Linked DNA regions of Saccharomyces cerevisiae S288C. The protein of the gene in region 1 binds, or shares a complex with, the protein of each later gene. Each region holds a gene or a part of one and is shown in the gene's direction. Other genes may lie near its edges.

Region 1 (4,595 bases):
ATTAAGTATCTGTTCAGGTTCCACAAACAAGGAAGAAAAATCCGCTGCACCCGTAGTGGCCAGTTTCCCGCCACTGTCATATACAGCATCTAAAAATGTAATAAATCTTCTCACTTCATCACGAACGTAAATGGACAAATATGGAATATCGGTCACTATAAAGGCTTCAAAATTTTTTGCCAACGTCAAGTAATCTCCTGCGGCCAAAGGCTCACCACACAACTGCTTGAAAGTAAACTGCGCGACTCGAGGTGGGGTACACTTAGGGACTTTGAACTCTCTCCCCCAAATAGTTAATGGATAATCATAAAATGTCTTATGCACCGTGTGTGAATCAGTGGAATCATCGGTGTGGGAAGCCTGTGCGAAATAGTTATACCATTCCTTAATATGAGTTTCTCGACGGGTTTTACATTCCTTTGATGCGTATTTTATGCTCGTATCGGATGGGAAATAGTAAACTGAGGACACAGGTCTTGGAATCTTACGGTAATCTGTTGGCGAATTCAAGAAGATAACCTTAGTTCTATGCTTTATCAGTTCAATACAAGGAATAAATGATTGTCTTTGAACACCGTTGATATACAACTCATCTGGATGTCTATTCGAGGTTGCGAAAAGTACGACACCATAATCATCGGATAGTAAGGCAGTCATCAGCCTTCTCAATATCATTGCATCTGCCACGTCAGTGACTTGAAACTCGTCAAAACAAAGAACATGCGAATTATTTGCAATCTCTGCGGCCAAAAATGGAACCGTATCGATCTCTTTTCCTTTTGCATCACCTAGTTCTTTCAAATTTTGCTCTCTAACAATTTCATGCGACCTTTTGTGAACATATTGCATAAACTGGTGAAAATGTATTCTCTTTTTTGTTAAATGATTGGGAATTGTAGTATAAAAAAGGTCCATCAACATTGTCTTTCCGCAGCCAACATCTCCATATAGGTAAACTCCTCGAGGTATCGAGTTACCAATTTTGGATACATCCACATACGCCCCAATGTTCTTAGGTTTGCCACGGCTAAATACGGATTTAAGACCATTCAACCAACCGCCAACTTGGTCGACAGCATTGGGTGTCTTGACAACCGGAGGTACATATTTAACCAGTGAATCATACAAATCCCCTAAGGAAGAGATGATACCACGCTGATATGTATCATCCCGTAGCTTCCCCAACTTCACCAGTCTGTCGTACTCTTGCAAGGGCGTCAGACACTTATTTGACTTCGTAGATTGATACCGACAAATGCGAAAGCTGCAATGCTGCACTTGTCGGAAGGTTCGAACAGCATTGGGCTTCAAAGCGATCATGATTTTAACCAGCAAATACTATGTTTCACTGCTTTACCTATTTATTCTTTGTTCTTTCGGAGCACCCGCAAATCAGAAGAAAGGAACTTCTCCCTCCCACTTTAAAGTAAATCCGGAGATTCCCGTTATTACCTTACATATCGAAATATGACCCATAAAAGATGTGTAAAATTACGTAAGACAAAGGAACTCGGCACACCTATTGAATAGGTAATAGTGGAATCAGGTGCCTAAATAAATGAATAAGAGTACTGTATTATCTAGTAGTTGTTATATTATCTAACCTTTACATAATACGATTATTTCACATTGTTATGTTTTCGGGTAATAATTATGAGATGGAGTGAAATTTCACGAAGAGATACAAGTAAAATAGCAGCTCTTCAATAGCAAGAAGAGTGGCGCTGAGATTGAAAACAACTGTGCTAGTGTAGAGCAACTTTGATAATAGCTGGTACGTTTCCGAGAATGGAAGTAGACAGTATATTAGGTTCCTTGAGCATAACTGATGATTTTGACCAATTGGTTGACGTCACAAGTCTGTTTGATGAATTGTGTTCAAAACTAAAACCAGAGGCTATCGTGAAAGATCCCAGGTTTGATTTGTTCGAGGGTACACATTCTTTAGAGGTCAACAACTCCAAATTAGACTCCAGTCTGATAGAATTGACAGCAGAAGAAATAGAATTTGATGTGAACGTGGCCTACGATCCACCGTTGGCAAGTGTAGCAGCCATAGCGGATAGATTACTTAGATGTGTTATCTCCTGGCTGAATGACTACCAGACTTTACCCACTACTGTATTAAGCTGCAGGTATACAGAAAGCTTATTATCGTCATTAGTTAAGGGAACAACTGCCGGTTCGTCCTGGTGTACAGGGAATATTTTGTATGATAAAGTACTAGGAAGTTGCATACTTGGCGTTTGTTATTTAACAAAATTTGTGCAGAAACTCTTGAGTGCTGGTATTGTTTTTGAAGAGGAGGATTTAAATTTTAATAACATGGGGTTTAATACATTCGATAATTTGCCGGGGCAAGATGTTGTTATCAATTCTCTCACCGAGAGCCTTCAGATATTAGAGGCATATTCTGATGATAGCTTACATTTAACTATGCTGAAGCATATACTAAAAATTATCATTTGCTTAGTCCACTTAGAAGACCATCTGACAGACTATTCCACAAAGACAAGCCACCTGGATGAGCTAATTGAAAACGCTAACTCGGTTAATGGCATATTTCCACAATTACAGCTGTCTCCACCAAAGGGTGCGTTCTCAACATATATACAAAAGCACAGGTCTAATCAATTCCCTCCCAGGAAGATTACGAAGTTACCGACGGATTACAGCGGCTTTATTACACTGGCAAATGATGTTAAAACAATACTCCTTGTAGATAAAGCCGAGTCTGCGTTGGAGACCTACCAGTTTGCCAAATTCTTCAACAAGTTGGAACAAAGGCATGTCATTGCAAGGATCTTATTCCCCTTATTTTTCATTAGAGACGACAGAACAGTTTTGGGTAAATTTTCATATACCCAATTTTATTTGCTACATGTCAAGGAGTTTTCAGCACAAACTCCATCTGAATTTGAATCCTCTATTGGTAATGAACTTATCCAAGAAAGCTCTAATATGCTTTTAGAATGGTACCAAAACTGCTCCCAAAACACATGTAGATATAGACAAGGTTTTAACAGGCAACTTATTCTATGGGATTCTCTTCAAGCCCAGTTTGAAAGTGTCAATTCACAAGTTTACTGTTCGTGGACATATTTTATGAAACTATCAAGTATGATCGAATTCTCTTTAAAGGGGTTTGATTTGGATATTTACAAACCCTTTGAAGCATACTCTATGTTTTGGTATGTTTATTATTTAAGTCACCACTTAGAAACCTTTTTGAAAGATAGTCAAAATGATATTGAATCAAATATTAATGCCATTCATTCCATGAACAAAAAACTTAAAAAATTGAAAGCTGGTGAAAAGAAGGACCAATTGAGGCTAAAGTACAGGTTTGCTATGGATAATGAAATGGAACAATTACAAGCTACCAAACAATTTTTAAACTATCTTTTGAAGGAAATTAACATTACCAAATCTTTATGTCTAATAGAGGTTTTCCAATTTGCAATTTTAAAGTCATTTGGTTTAATTGACAACAAGAATAGTACTCCGTCAAAATTCTCTAATGAACGGTTAATCCATAATTTGAGATTCAAGCCATTTAATTCAATTGGTGTTCCTGAGTTACCAGAATATGAAGTATTTCAACAAACTTTAAAAGATTTTGTCATTGAAGAAAAAGGAGCTGCATTTGATATAAAGTTAGAAAGGGCCACTAACTTTATCGAAACTGAAGTGCGCAATGTCGTTAGTTCTATTGATGAGATAATGCAAGGAATCAAGGGAGGCGATAATAACGGCGTTCTAGTAACAGGAACAAGACTGGTTCAAGAGCTCTCTCTGGAGTACTATTGTAAACTAAAACATACTTCTAAAGCATTATCAGTCAACTCAAAAGTTATCGTCAACACTTTGAAAAAGAACATTAAAAACAAGGACTCCCACGAATACAAGGTTGAATTAGTTCATACAACAGAAGGATGGAACTATTTCCCCATACAAACATTGAGAATAAAGCAAGACCGCTATAAATAATCTGGAATTTACCCTAACTGTACAAAATATATTTAGCATTATATACCCGCTATTTAATTATTATAAAGGAGACCTTTATACTCAAACAAATGAAGCCACCTTATGCCATTATCCCATTCGTACCAGTCTAAAACAAGATAAATACCCTGTTTAACATCCGAACACCAAATATGTGTGGGTGTCAAACAAAGAGACAATGTAATGAGACAATGTACTGCTTGTAAACTATAACAGTATCAGCTCAATTTCAATGCCATCTACTCCAGATATCGTTGCGATTGTACCTACAAGCCGCCTACAACGGCGTTATTGTTGTAAGCTGGTAAAATGCAGTGCGTTCCCCCGTTGTGAGTTCGGGCCAAACTTACTTGGCTGGGAGTTCCGTCCGTACAGTTGTGGCTTGCTGCCTAGACTTAGGCGGACGCGGCGGCAATTACTCCTGGGCTCTCCCTAGAGCTGGAGAGACACTCTTGGTAACCGAAGGGAAAATCCCGGAAGAAAATTTGGAATCCGTTAACACTGCTGGAAATGGACATCTCCTAATACTGAAAAAATTATTCAAAGTCTAGAATTTTGGTAAATTTCAAGGCTTCTTTGAGTTACAG
Region 2 (2,584 bases), on another chromosome or scaffold:
TCTGGGTGAATGCTATGTTACCCAAAATGGCTACTGCATGCTTTTGTAGACTTTTTTTTAAATCTATTAGTTCTCCTATTTGTGAATACAGCGCTTGTGATATAGTGAAGAGAGTTTTCACTGATTCTTTTTTATCCTTTTCCAACATCACATTCATGCTTTTCAAAAATTCTTGACTATTGAATTCTTCTTCTTCTTTATCAAGTACATTTCTGCTTCTTGTTCGCATTTCTGATACCAGTACCTCAAAGCTCTCTGCCATTTGGTCTTCAAGCTCGAATTTAGATTCATTCGGGGTAAACATTTGCCGCAGTCGATCGATGTTTACTGTTATAATATCTCTAAAACTTGCATTTTCGTCAATTTCCCTCTTAATTTTATTCAGCTTACCATTGATTGAATGATTTAGAATCTTTACAGATTTTTCGTTCTCCAGGAGAGATTCAATATTAATGAACTTTTGTAAAGAATCACCCTCTAAAGCAGTCAACTTACTCAAGGTGTCATTGAAGCATTTTTCCCATTTTGAAGTCATACCATTGTCTACCAGCTGATTTAAAAATTGAACGTTTGAGTTATACAAACTTTCTACATCAAAGCAGTACAGCTTCAAATATTGTGAGCAAACGGTTAAGCCATCAAAAATACGCTTAATATGGGCTATTATGTCTGGTATGAGGCTCTTAAAATAATGTACATCTATTTCTAAAGCGCTTAGCCAACCAAGGTTCGTCGTCAGTAAGCTAGTTACGGAATGGTAATTTAAACGCGAAAGATCTACGTCTGCGTCCTCCAAAGGCGAGGGCATAGGCTTGATCATAATAGTATCGCTACCTTGGTATTGAGATATATGACTATTCTTAATTAAATATTCCAGAGTCTCTGTCAAGTCGTTGGAATTAGGGGAGTTCATGGGATTAGAATCCTTAGACGTTAAAAGATTTGTTGGTGTCGGTTTACTAACAAGTGAGAATAGTCGTCTGTCGTAAACGTAAAAATCATTTAGAGTAAAAGACCTATTAATAAGCAGCTCTTTAAACATCGACGGTTTTAGTTTGTTACCATAAGGTAGTAGAATCAGCAGCTGATCGGGAGGAATCTTCCATTTCCTAGCAATGAACTGTTTAAATTTGTCCAGGGAAACGAAAAAATCAACATTCGTAGTTATACATTCTCCAGATATTGCATTTATGATAGTGGCTGTTGTCTGCAGTGGTGTTATTTCTTGCTGGGTAGGTGCAGTGCTATATTCATCAGCGTCTGCCATGATGTATAAAAGAAAATAAAAGAAGTACTTTCCGAACAACAACAGTACACTAAAATAATCGTTGTTCAAAGGAGGACTACTTTGGTTCTGATTTGAGAAAATGGTACTCAAATAAGGGCATCGCTATTATATAGTTCCATTCCTACCAAGAAACCGGGTAGCCAAAAGCGATAAAAAGGCTCTCCATGGCAAGCCTTATTAAAAATAATAATCATGAAGAACAAAGTTTCACAAGAGATTACAAGATAAAAAAGCCACTACTACAGAAAAGGCGTTGGGTCAGGACATGGAAATAGTGTACAAGCCATTGGACATACGTAACGAAGAGCAGTTTGCTAGTATTAAAAAACTAATAGATGCGGATCTATCAGAGCCGTACTCGATATACGTATATAGGTATTTCTTGAACCAATGGCCCGAGTTAACGTACATTGCCGTTGACAACAAGAGTGGAACGCCTAACATACCCATTGGTTGCATAGTGTGTAAGATGGACCCGCATAGAAACGTGAGACTGAGAGGATATATAGGAATGCTAGCCGTAGAGTCCACATACCGCGGGCATGGCATAGCAAAGAAACTAGTGGAAATTGCCATAGATAAAATGCAAAGGGAACATTGCGATGAGATCATGTTAGAAACAGAGGTGGAAAATTCGGCGGCTCTAAACTTATATGAAGGAATGGGTTTCATCAGAATGAAACGGATGTTCCGCTACTACTTGAATGAAGGGGACGCCTTTAAACTGATATTGCCGTTGACTGAAAAGAGCTGCACTCGGTCTACGTTCCTAATGCATGGCCGGCTGGCCACATAAAAGGAAAAACACTCGATGATGATAAAATATATATTAATAATACAATTTTTTTATTTATTTATTTAATCATATGTATAGATATAGAAAAAGGGCAGTAGAGAAAAGAGGAATAGAAAGGAGAGAGATAATAAAGCAAGTTTCAAAAAGAACAAGAGGAAAAGAAATTAAATCACACAGACAAAAACGCGGGGAGGAAGTATCCCTAAGCCAAAGTGGCGTTATATAACTCCTTTTCGGATTCATATCTCTTCTTATCGGCCTGGGCCTTGGCCTCGTAAGGCTGCTTTTCCTCTGGCGTTAGAGCCTTCCACTTCTCACCCAACTTCTTGCCGACTTGTCCAAATGTGATATCTGGATTTTCAGAACGAACAATATCTCTGTTTTCGTTAGCGAAAAACATGTAGGCGGACAAAGCCCTCTTAGGGGCATTTGGGTCCTTCTTCTTTCTAGTGGTTCTCTTCTTAGGTTCTCTTGGGGTGACCATTGCGACTGTGCTTTAC

Evidence for each region. The genes of interacting proteins can lie anywhere in the genome.
Region 2: the proteins of MAK10 (region 1) and MAK3 are in contact, whole or in part, in a crystal structure (PDB 6YGB), measured with the Saccharomyces cerevisiae proteins. Residues at the interface, in NP_010861.3 of Saccharomyces cerevisiae: Pro35 (codon at 1,891), Glu36 (codon at 1,894), Ala37 (codon at 1,897), Ile38 (codon at 1,900), Asp45 (codon at 1,921), Leu46 (codon at 1,924), Phe47 (codon at 1,927), Gly49 (codon at 1,933), Thr50 (codon at 1,936), Ser52 (codon at 1,942), Leu53 (codon at 1,945), Glu54 (codon at 1,948), Lys59 (codon at 1,963), Leu60 (codon at 1,966), Asp104 (codon at 2,098), Tyr105 (codon at 2,101), Gln106 (codon at 2,104), Glu173 (codon at 2,305), Asp174 (codon at 2,308), Pro284 (codon at 2,638), Arg286 (codon at 2,644), Thr289 (codon at 2,653), Gln332 (codon at 2,782), Asn403 (codon at 2,995), Cys405 (codon at 3,001), Gln409 (codon at 3,013), Leu455 (codon at 3,151), Asp456 (codon at 3,154), Ile457 (codon at 3,157), Lys459 (codon at 3,163); in NP_015376.1 of Saccharomyces cerevisiae: Ile10 (codon at 1,581), Arg11 (codon at 1,584), Lys20 (codon at 1,611), Asp24 (codon at 1,623), Leu27 (codon at 1,632), Ser28 (codon at 1,635), Glu29 (codon at 1,638), Pro30 (codon at 1,641), Tyr31 (codon at 1,644), Ser32 (codon at 1,647), Ile33 (codon at 1,650), Tyr34 (codon at 1,653), Val35 (codon at 1,656), Arg37 (codon at 1,662), Tyr38 (codon at 1,665), Asn41 (codon at 1,674), Gln42 (codon at 1,677), Lys98 (codon at 1,845), Glu101 (codon at 1,854), Ile104 (codon at 1,863), Asp105 (codon at 1,866), Gln108 (codon at 1,875), Glu131 (codon at 1,944), Gly132 (codon at 1,947), Met133 (codon at 1,950), Gly134 (codon at 1,953), Ile136 (codon at 1,959), Arg137 (codon at 1,962), Met138 (codon at 1,965), Lys139 (codon at 1,968).

The regions. Positions count from the first base shown.
Region 1 is NC_001137.3:53,296-57,890, reverse strand, and holds MAK10 (Mak10p), read left to right. Parts: upstream 1-1,788; coding exon 1,789-3,990; downstream 3,991-4,595. Other genes in the region: AFG1 (Afg1p), read right to left, coding at 1-1,320.
Region 2 is NC_001148.4:663,407-665,990, forward strand, and holds MAK3 (peptide alpha-N-acetyltransferase MAK3), read left to right. Parts: upstream 1-1,553; coding exon 1,554-2,084; downstream 2,085-2,584. Other genes in the region: autophagy protein ATG11, read right to left, coding at 1-1,267; NHP6A (high-mobility group nucleosome-binding protein), read right to left, coding at 2,287-2,568; YPR053C (uncharacterized protein), read right to left, coding at 2,382-2,584.